Oryzias latipes: one gene and its partners. The protein of the gene in region 1 purifies or fractionates together with the protein of each later gene. This does not show direct contact. Links are inferred from orthologs where the notes say so. Each region holds a gene or a part of one and is shown on either strand. Other genes may lie near its edges.

Region 1 (3,654 bases):
TGTTCCCTCGTTTATCACAGGGCGTATGCAGGATTACAAATGTTTTAAAGCTGTTAAACCCCTCGCTGAACACTTTACAGACTTTTCTCAGACACACATGAACATTTTCACACTTTTCTCTCTTGTTCAACGTTCAAACCCCTCATAGAAAAATAAGTCCAGGACTAACAAAGACCTGATCGCGATTGAAGATTTATAGAAACGTGGCAACCTGAATGCATTTTGTCAACAGCCAATCAGGATGCAGAACACAGTTCACTGTGTTAAAAAATAAAAAAATAAGCATGCAAAGTTGCGCTAAAAAAAAAAAAATACAGGAAAAAGCAAGACCGCGAAAGGTGATAGTAGCAAGGGAACACTGTACAGGGAAGCACCGTCCCAGCAAGCACCATGATGAAGGTGGTGGCTAACGTGTTGCTCACCCCTTATTAGAGAGCAGAGAGGTACGAGAGAGCATGGGAAAACGAGGAAAGGACAAAGTAAGAAGAGACTTCTGGGAGCCCTCAGAAGTTTGGGTGTCACACTCCTCTCTAAAGAGAGGAGGACAGACTTGAAGTAACATCAAAGAGGAGAACGCATGCAGGACACACACAGACAGGAAGTGGGCTGGATTTCTGAGCAAACACTCACAGGCTGCTCTTGTTGATCTTATAGAACTTTAATCTGGCCAAACACATCCGGCACACATATTTAGATGTTTCCATGTCCTCCTACGAATGAGAAGAAAGGAAATAAGTTTCATTAAAATGCTGTTTTCAAACTTAAACCAGTTGATGGTAAGAATGTTTAAATGTTTTCTTTAATTGAACTTGTTCTTTAGTACGAAGTAGAGTAGTATTGGTGCTGCTGCCGTTGAAACTTACTGTCTGGAACTGAACACTTTCTTCTCTGTTGGCCAACTCCAGGGCAAAAAAGGACCTATTGTGACTCATGTTGTTAATTTCATGCCACCTACACAGCCAATTAACGCAGAGCCACATAAAGGGAGGGAGGGAGGGAGGGAAAATAAAGAAAAAACATTATTCCCATCACAGCAAAACCCTGCAGCATTTTCAGTCTGCTGTTGCCTTTTCATAATCAAAAATAGAAATATGCAGGAACACTTGATAGATATTTAGAAATCACGGTGGTATGGGGGGAAAAACAACAACAACTCTGAAGTGTTCCTGCTTTTCGGGTAAATGATCTGACCACAATTTCTACTCCCATCTTCACTCATTTAGCCTTCAGCCACTTTCAATTCGGAATTTCAAATGGAGATGACACATTCTGAGAATAGTTCAGAGCTGTGCCACAAAACTCAAACTTTCTCCACAGATTTCTTTAATTGCAGCAGCCGCAGTCTCAGGACAAAGAAAGCACACAAAGTTCCCCCCAGGTTTTAAAACATACACGGGGTCCAGACGTACCTGTACAACAGAGGCGGGCGAGCGCTTTTATACTTAACGAAGATACCATCAAGGCAGGAACCCAGAGTAACATCTGTGCCTGTGTTGTCCTGCTCCAACAGAAACAAATGTAAGGAAAATTGTTGTTTTATGTGTGTGTGTATGTGTGTGTGTGTGGGGGGGGGGGGGGGGGGGGGGGGACGACGACTGGGTACTTCAGCTTTACCTTTGCGGGATAGTTCTCTTGAGCATATCCTTCCATTTTCTCAACTTCCTGCATGTACAACATTTCTGCATCTGGAGCAGGTAACCCTCTGAGACAGAGAAAAAAAAATAACGGCTTCAGCCATTTCAAAACCATCACTTTTGTCTTTTTCAGACCAACATTTCAGCTTCCTGCGCTTTCTTTTGTTTGTGATACTTATCCAGAGATTTGTGCATTACAGTTTAGTAAATGCCCTCCGAGTGGCTTCTCCACCCTCGGTTTCAGGGCTTCTGCTGAACTAAGGTCAGAGTTGGTCCCACTTCCAAAACCTTTTAAGAATCACTTTACTCATTCAGTTCCATGGAAGCAAAGACGCATCCACTCTAGTTGTTGCATTCCTGCAGAAGTACCAGCATGTCTGCCTTAGCCCATGTATGGAAACATTTTATAAATGGTGTTCAATTTTTGTATTTTTTTTGCTGATTTCAATTCTGATTTTTTATCAAACCCTGTAACTATAACTGGGCTCCAAAGTGTATTTCTATACATTTGCAGAAATCTATCATCAAATCCATTTGACAATGTTTGTGAAATCATTTCCACACATTATTAAACAAAGCAGATTAATAACACCAATATGTATTTATCGAGCTTAAGAAAAACAAGCAAACAATTACATTCTAATAGTTACACAATAATTAAACTTCTTGCTTGTTGGTGCGATGCTTTTCTCTTTACTAAAAAAATGTTAAGTTTTTTTTGTTTTGTTTTTTACACATTAGCCATTTACATGTGCTGAATAACTATCAAAATGCAATGGAAACAAGTTCTTCTTTTTTTATTTAATTTGTCAATGGCCTGTTTGTTTCTTTCATTTCTGCTCTGAAAACAGGCTCACCGGAAAGACTGATAAAAAAGAGCCACTTTCTGAGTAGCCTCCTCCAGGACTCGATCGTCCTGAATCCAGTCCTGCAGAGAAAAGAGTCAGAGTTTGTTATTTAAAAAAAAAAAAAGAAATCTGATCCAATCTTCAGAAATGATGATGAGCAATTCAAAGTTGATGCTTACAATAGGGAACAGAGCAAACTTCTGAAGGAATTCCTGAGAATCATATTGATTGAAATCTCCAAAGTCAGCTGTGGACACAAAGACGGGATGAAGGTAAGACAAGCTCCGCTGCATTTAGAACAAAGCTGAACAGCCAGAATGATGTCATGGCTTTCAGAAAGCAGCAGCCTATGATGACATGTTGGACTTATTCAAGGAGGACAGATCCGTTTATTATTGCTTCAGACAACATGGATATCTGAGGCTATAATAGCTTCCAGCAGCCTTTGGGCAGCATTCCCAGCTGTGGTAGGTATTTTTGGCAGGAAAACGGGTTTGACAGCTGCAGATGACCCTCACATTTGGGATGAAGAAGAGAAAAAAGTTCCAACTAAACTTTCCAACAAATTAAGTTAAGAATAATAACTAAAGAAACATGTTTTGTAAAGCTATTATTTAAAAAAAAAATTACCTCAGTGGTAAAGTAGCCTGCACTGCCTTACATTTATAAACATGAGAAAAAATGTATTTTAAGGTTTTTAGCATTTTGTAACACATGCATATTTGTATATTGACCAAATATGACTTAAGTACAATTTAAAAAAAACATTTGCTTTAATTTGATTGTTACATTTTTTATAGGAAAAGGTTGATTGAACTGATGTGGTTATATTTGCAATGTAATAATAATAATTGATACTTTATTTATTCCACAATGGGAAAATTCTTCTCCGCATTTGACCCATCCCCTGGGGGAGCAGTGAGGCAGTAGCGCAAGTGTCTTGCCCAAAGTGATGTTAATTGCTCGCCATTGATATGGTAATTGCCCCAGTACCATTGTTTATTCCCCTCCGGGAATCCAGAGCCTGGATTCCTGTGTGGCAGCCCTTTACCTTACCAAGCAAGCTACCCAACCTTAATTGAAATACTTTACATCTCCAAGTGAATTATAAGTATCTACAAAACCACATTTTCTTAAAAATATAAAAGTGATTTTGAAATATTTAGGTGATG
Region 2 (3,654 bases), on another chromosome or scaffold:
ATTCCTGGTTTTTTAAACTCGTCTATTCAAACTGTTCTGTGGATTTAAACAAACGTCAAAAGCCAACAAGTGTCTTTTATTTTCTTTTTCTTTCAGATGAATTCAATAGTCTCACTGCTTGACTTCCCAAAAAACTAAAAGAATATTTTAACAAAATAAAAGCATGCTGTAGTCCTCCATTTAAACTACAAAGCTTTAAAGGTTGAAGTAATATTAGACATTCAAAGGCGTCTTTTACTTTTAAAAGGACCGTTGTCATGCAAGTCTTGTTGACAGCAGCTGTTCTTCAAATCAAAGGTGCTCCGAGTCATCATCCAGCAAACGATCGCTACTATTCTCCTCCGCCTCCTCCTGGTCCCAAAGAGGACCGCAGCTGGAGTCCTCGTGTGGACAGCTACGATCTGATGGTGGGGGGACATTAAAACATCAAATGCTGATTTGAAAAGCTGTTGTCGATATTTTTGTTTATTTAATTTGACGACTAAAAAGCTGTTGTCGGTTTTAGCAACTTCCTCCTGAAAAGCCGGGCAGCTATCACTCCAAGATCGATGCGGACATTGACTCCCTGACGGGGATGCTGGCGGATCTGGACAGCCACCCGCAGGACTCCAGCTCCCAGGTTGGCATGGAAACGCAGAATGGAGCAGACGATTGATCGTCAGGGTGAAAGTCTAACACTCCGCCTGTCCACAGCTCTACGACAATGTGCCTTACAACAAGTATGTATCAGGGGAACACTACAAGCCTCAACACCAGAGACCAGCCCCTCCTCAGGGTCAGCCGTCCATGGGCTACGCCTCCCACCCTCAGAACCAGTACCACTCGGCTCCCCCGTATCCCAGCAAGCACCAGGCCCCTCCGTATTCCCACCAGCAGGACTACTACCCGTCCTCCTCCCCTAAGCCCTACCCTCAGCCTGTTCCGGCCTCCTACACCACCGCCTCCACCCCCACCGGGCCCAGGTTCAGCGTGCAGGTGAAAACGGCGCAGCCCGTCACCTACTCCCAAACGGGGAGGCAGGCCGAGCAGGCCTACACCCCGCCGCCCCCTCGCCAGCACCCGTCACGGCCTCCCGCCCAGATCCAGACAGTGCCGCAGGGCTGGTACCCGCCTCACTCCAACTCACCAGTACAGGAGCCCGACGGCGCTTATAAGGGCGGAGTCCCAGGTTCTGTTGGAAGAGTCGGCCAGATCCAGATGTCCAAGAGGGGGATGGAAAACAATCAGGCAGGACAAGGACCGGCTCAGAGTCCTGCTTATCAGTCCACCAAGGTAGGCACTGCAGTTTTCTTCATTTTTAGAGACGACATTTTAATTTAAGTCAAGCTTGATTATTTATGCTTTTTTTGTCAGATCAATTAGGAAGAATTTATGGCAAAAGTTTTCCTTTTTTTTGGCCAGCAGGGGGCAGCAACGATGAGGCCAGAGGAGGAGCTGGATCGGCTCACCAAGAAGCTGGTTTATGACATGAACCACCCTCCTGCAGAGGACTATTTCGGTAGGAAATTGCAATTAATAAGACGATTATTGATTGAAGGAAATGAAATGAACCCTGTGGACTTGTGCTGCACACGAACAGGTCGCTGCGCCCGCTGTGGGGACAACGTGGTGGGTGACGGCAGCGGGTGCATCGCCATGGAGCAGGTGTTCCACGTGGAGTGTTTCACCTGCATCACCTGTCACACGCGGCTTCGGGGGAAGCCGTTCTACGCGCTCGAGAAGAAGAGCTATTGCGAGAACTGTTACATTGTGGGTGAAATACTCCCACCGGCTCCTGTTTTGCGCCACTACGACTGCGTGATTTTGACCATTTTCTGTCTTTTCACTGTGTTTTTTTCAGAGTACGTTGGAGCGCTGTTCCAAATGTTCGAAGCCCATTCTGGACCGCATCTTGCGGGCGATGGGAAAAGCGTACCACCCGCGATGCTTCACCTGTGTGGTCTGTAACTGCTGCCTGGACGGCGTCCCCTTCACTGTGGACGCCACATCTCAGATACACTGCATAGACGACTTCCATCGGTGCGTTCACAACCGTTCGTTTACTGCCTGAATCTATCAAATATGATTCTATCAAGCAAATAAAAAAACAGAAAACTTTATTATGTTTCTACTAAGAATCTTATCAACTTTAGCACCACAGAGATTTTAGATCTAGGATTTTTCTGTTTGCATCTATTTAGACAAAGACATTCAGGTTTGAGGTGCAAAGTCGATACTATTTTTCAAAATAAAAGTCTGTACACATTAGTTACTGGTGCATGACGAAGTATTAAAAGTAAAGAAATCAATATATATGAAAAAAGTCAACATTTTACCAGAAGAAACTCATATTTACCACAGATTTATGAATAAAAATCAAACTTTTACAGTAATAAAGTTATCATTTCATAAGTGAGAATGTATGTGATTAAATTTCATAAATTTATGAGGCAAATGTCAGTTTACTAAAAGAAAATAGAAACAACAACAAAAAGAACCAATATGGTGTTTTATTTCGACGTAGAGCACATTGGAAGCTGTTCCTTCATCATTGGTTAGACGAATCAGGCGGACGCTGTTGACTCTGTTGGCAGTAAAGCTGCAGAGGTCCAAATGCATTATGGGACATAGATTCCTATGATAGACTAAAGCCTTATGATATCACCATAAATGGTGCATTGATGGATTTGGTCGATGGGTAATGTGGATGGAGGCCATAACCATTTTTCTTTTCAAAAATTGTAACATTACAAACTCTTTCTCTTAATTATATGACATTATCCTTGTTAATCTCCTCAACCGCTCCAACATGATTCAGCTGATTCTGACATGGAGAAAAGCAGCGTTCCATATCGGCTTTGCACCAATGTCCAACACGTTACTAACAAAGTGTTCCATGGCGGCCCGACGCCACTTTTTTGCCACGAAAAAAATCAACAAAATGTATGTTGATTGTATAAACACTTCACCACTGTAAAGTGGTGGACATCAGCTCAAGGCTGCTTTTCTCCGCTTCAGAATTACGTTAATTGCTTAAAAATGTGAAGAGTTCCGGGAGTGGAAAGCTACGAGGTTAAAGGGTTTAACTCTGTACAACCCGTGCTAGCCGTGTTCTCGGCCTATCACCAACCACGCTTTTGTTTTTTAAACTTGTCCAACAGCTGAGCAAACAGATAAGATCTGAAGGCCTCTTGTGTTGGACATATTTTACTGTCACAACATGGGGTTATGAATTTTCTAACACACAAGGTGTATGTTTAAATGAATTTAGACTAAACTTTATTTAGCCCAGCATTTATGACATCCCATAAGCCCAGCTTACCACATCAGAGGAGAGCTGCAGCGAAGTTGGACTCTTTATGAACGTGTAATTTCATTCTGTTATTGCATTCATATATTTTGTAGGAAATACGCCCCTCGCTGCTCAGTGTGTGGTGAACCCATCATGCCTGAACCCGGACAGGAGGAGACTGTCAGGATTGTAGCTCTGGACCGCAGCTTCCACGTCGACTGCTACGTCTGTGAGGTATCGCCGCCAGAACACTGAATCCACTCCATTCATTTATTAGATCAAAGTCCTGTTGAAGCCCTGGTAGATTAGAAATCAAAACAACAGCTTTAGGTAGAAAATAATAAAGATTTCTGGCCAAAAAAAACCCTGGCTTCAGCATTGAG
Region 3 (3,654 bases), on another chromosome or scaffold:
GCATCAAATCCACGTACACCGTCTTTGTTTTAACATTAGTCAAAGTTGCTGCTCGACGTTTGTCCAAAAGTGTGTTAACCCAAAGCTCTCGCCGAATGTGGGAGGAGCTTCTGTGAAAAGCTTTTCTCGGCCTCATCCCAGAGGACGGGGATGATGACAGATCAGGTTTCCTTACAAAAGCATCAGTGAGCAGTGCGCATCTCCATGGGTGGATTCATGAGATCATTCAATCGCTCCGCCTGTAACCAGTTGGAGGGGTTTATAGCAGCAGGAGACACAGTAAATGAATGTAAAGTTGTAAATTCTGACATCCCCCGCACATCCAATTACTTAAAATTGGATATTTGTAGAGGTAGCAATAAACACCATTTTAAATTAATTGTTATCATCCATGGGCTGCACGGTGGCGCAGTGGTTAGCGCTCTTGCCTCACAGCAAGAAGGCCCCCGGTTCAAGTCCCGGTTGGGGGACATAAAAAACACAACATCAATGGGGGACCTTTCTGTGTGGAGTTGGCATGTTCTCCCCGTGTGTGCGTGGGTTTTCTCCGGGATCTCCGGCTTCCTCCCACTGTCCAAAAAACATGCTACATAGGTTGATTGGCAACTCTAAATTGTCCATAGGTGTGAGTGTGAGAGTGAATGAATGTGTAATTGAGGATATTCTACCCTGCGACAGACTGGCGACCAGTCCAGGGCATCCCTTGCCTACGCCCAAGTGGCCGGGATAGGCTCCGGCAACCCCGTGACCCCGAAAGGGAATAAAACGGTTAAGAAGATGAATGAATGAATGAATGTTATCATCCATAAGTTTGCTTTACCTACATTAAAAGATGATCAAAACTGACTATAATGCTCTGTGGGTAGCTGAGATTTTTGTTGTTCCATTTGCTAATTTAGACACAGCGCCCCCCACCTTTAATGGTGGTTGTGTGCAACTGCAGTTCCAAACGCCTTAAAGTCAGGTCCTAACTTAGAAACACTCGATCACTTGTTCTGTTTTAATGGTTTTAGCTAATGCGGCTAATAATCAGTTGCCACCAATTTCTTTATCTAAGCAAAACTCTGGAATCAGTGGGAATCTGAGGGATTCTGAGGGCTAACGGTCTTAAAATAGATCCTACATTTTTATAGATGATTTTTTGGTGTTTGTTTGGGTTATTTTTTGCTTTAAAGAACCAGACTTTTTTTTAATTTTTTTTTTATTGCAAACAAAAAGAGAATTGTTACATAAATGAAATTCAATGAAACAAAGAAATAGTTACATATTTGTAATACAACTTGGGCAGTTTTTTTTTTTTTCAAACACCACTCTCCCGTCTCCCCACCCCCGCAAAAAAGGGAAAATAAATTAATTAATAAATAAAAAAAGAACACCCTCAAACCCCCCTCTCCAGGCTATGATATACATTGTCCAATGTAACAAAAGCTTACCTCTATATGATCAACTCTAAAAATGGCAACATAAAATAGAGAAATATAGGTACATATAGAGCTGATTTGATATTTATACGTAAAAATATAAGAATAATAATAATACTAATGCTAATAATGTTAATAATAATTAAGAAGAGTTGGAATATTTTAAACTATAAACTACAGGGATGTGATGGTAGAATGTGAGGAGGTCTCAGGTAGAATTCTGAGTTTGCCAAAGTGATCTAAAACCGGACCCCAGACTGAGAAAATTTGTCCCTCGATCTTCAAACTGAATATTTTATTTTTTCAAGTTGTAATAGTTGCATAAGGTCCATCAGCCACTGGGACACCCTGGGTGGGTCTTTAGATTTCCAGTGCAATAATATACGGCGCCTTGCTATTAGAGTAGCAAAAGCAAGAATGTCTTTGTGTCTTTTTCTTAATGGATCTGGGTTTTGGTGTGAAACACCAAAGATGGCTAATGCACCAGACTTTAGCAGACAGTTACACCTCTTTGCTCTTTCAGCATCTGCAGACACTTGGAACTTGTCTCGTTTCTGTAAAGGAGTTGTTGCAGCCTTTTCAAACAACACAGAGGATCTAGCAAACATTTTCAAAAGGCACAGAACAGCAGAACAAAGCGGAGTTTCACTGAGGCAAAGAGAGGAAAGCAACAAGTGCTTTCTTTTAGAAACATTGTAGGAGAACGGTCTGTCCTTGCCGGTGTCCACAGACCTGCAAGACGTCAACAGACACCTTTAATCTGTAAAAAATATTTATTTAATACGCAAACAACCGAAGTGTAATCGATTGGTAGGACTACTTACTGTAGTATTTAGGAGACATCCTCTTTGCAGTTTTTAATTCAGCAACTCTTACTAGCATTGAACTGATGAGCTTTGTCAGCAGCCTCCATTTCCCACAATTCTCTTTAATTCTGTTGATTCTTTTCCACGGCTTTTGAATCAGCAAGAGAAATATTGAGGCTTTTCTGCAATGTTTCTGCTGGCTAAGACCAGCCTCAGATTCCCCAACAATTTATAAATTCTGACCGTTCTGCTGAATTTCATTTTTATTTTTCCCAGATGTTTAATATAATGAAACCTGGAATGAAAATAATGACTACACTGCTAAAAGCATATTAAGATGCTTAGACCATAAGGAAGGTTTCTATTCATGCATGTCTGTGTAAATACTTGGATTATTTTTATCAGTAAGAAGGTTTCACAGATAATTTAAATGAATTGCTAAACAGAAATGCTGCACTCCTGTCGCCTCAAACCTGAACCGATAGCTAGAAAAAAAGGGGTTTTCTTATTTCTAAACCTTTTTTTTCTCGTTTGTTGTGTTTTTCCCCACATCTCACTTTGCAGAGAGTGGTTTTTCCTCTTGTCCCATGAAGTGCTGAACCCCATGTACTGCCTGTTCGAGTACGCCGGCAAAAGCAACTACTGTCTGCAGATCAACCCGGCCTCTGCCATCAACCCCGACCACCTCTCCTACTTCTGCTTCATCGGCCGCTTCATAGCAATGGCACGCCCACACACACACGCACATCCCTCTCAGTTACATTTATATTCATTTCAATCAATTTTTGTTGCTTCCTTTTAGGCACTTTTCCATGGGAAGTTCATCGACACGGGCTTCTCTTTGCCTTTCTATAAGCGCATGCTTAACAAGAAGCTGATCCTCAAAGACCTGGAGTCCATCGACCCAGAGTTCTACAACTCCCTCATATGGATCAGGTCTGCCATGTTTTTCAGAGACTTGCAAGCTTACAAATGTTTTAAAACTTTGATTTTGTTCTTTATTTACTGTAAGTCAGTCCTTGAAGTCAGCTTACAGAAACTAGGAAGACTTATGATGGGTGATCTCTCTATTTCTGTGAAGCTTTACGTTTGTAGAACAAAACCACAGAACATAACATTTATGTCAATTCTGAATTAGGAGGAGTTCATGTAATTTATGAAAAGAGGTTATATTTGACCTATATTTCAAAATAAATGGCAACATTTTCCATCATAGACCAAATTTGATCCTTTAGATCAGTGTTTTTCAAGCAGTGTGCTGTGGGAGATGGTCAGGTGTGCCGTGGGAAATTACCCATTTTCACTGATCTAAAAACATTTCCCATCTCCAGGATATCAGCTCTTTGTTCATCCAAACAGGCCCTAAAAAAACCACTGATTAGTTAGGAATATGAAAGATCATAAAATACTTTTTTCTTTGTATTTAT

The links.
Region 2: the proteins of ptpn21 (region 1) and trip6 purify together in Homo sapiens (affinity purification with mass spectrometry; 3 studies listed by BioGRID and IntAct, with this or other methods). This does not show direct contact. The link is inferred for Oryzias latipes from reciprocal best matches to the Homo sapiens genes PTPN21 and TRIP6.
Region 3: the proteins of ptpn21 (region 1) and wwp1 purify together in Homo sapiens (affinity purification with mass spectrometry; 3 studies listed by BioGRID). This does not show direct contact. The link is inferred for Oryzias latipes from reciprocal best matches to the Homo sapiens genes PTPN21 and WWP1.

What each region holds. Positions count from the first base shown.
Region 1 is NC_019880.2:6,994,408-6,998,061, reverse strand, and holds part of ptpn21 (tyrosine-protein phosphatase non-receptor type 21), read right to left. Parts: intron 2,730-3,654; coding exon 2,662-2,729; intron 2,563-2,661; coding exon 2,492-2,562; intron 1,703-2,491; coding exon 1,615-1,702; intron 1,499-1,614; coding exon 1,410-1,498; intron 952-1,409; coding exon 864-951; intron 711-863; coding exon 631-710; intron 531-630; coding exon 423-530; intron 1-422.
Region 2 is NC_019876.2:14,752,586-14,756,239, reverse strand, and holds part of trip6 (thyroid receptor-interacting protein 6), read left to right. Parts: intron 1-297; coding exon 298-407; intron 408-505; coding exon 506-619; intron 620-693; coding exon 694-1,272; intron 1,273-1,401; coding exon 1,402-1,498; intron 1,499-1,579; coding exon 1,580-1,749; intron 1,750-1,840; coding exon 1,841-2,019; intron 2,020-3,384; coding exon 3,385-3,505; intron 3,506-3,654. UniProt on the Homo sapiens protein: Relays signals from the cell surface to the nucleus to weaken adherens junction and promote actin cytoskeleton reorganization and cell invasiveness. Involved in lysophosphatidic acid-induced cell adhesion and migration.
Region 3 is NC_019878.2:10,274,812-10,278,465, reverse strand, and holds part of wwp1 (NEDD4-like E3 ubiquitin-protein ligase WWP1), read left to right. Parts: intron 1-2,791; coding exon 2,792-2,951; intron 2,952-3,029; coding exon 3,030-3,163; intron 3,164-3,654. UniProt on the Homo sapiens protein: E3 ubiquitin-protein ligase which accepts ubiquitin from an E2 ubiquitin-conjugating enzyme in the form of a thioester and then directly transfers the ubiquitin to targeted substrates.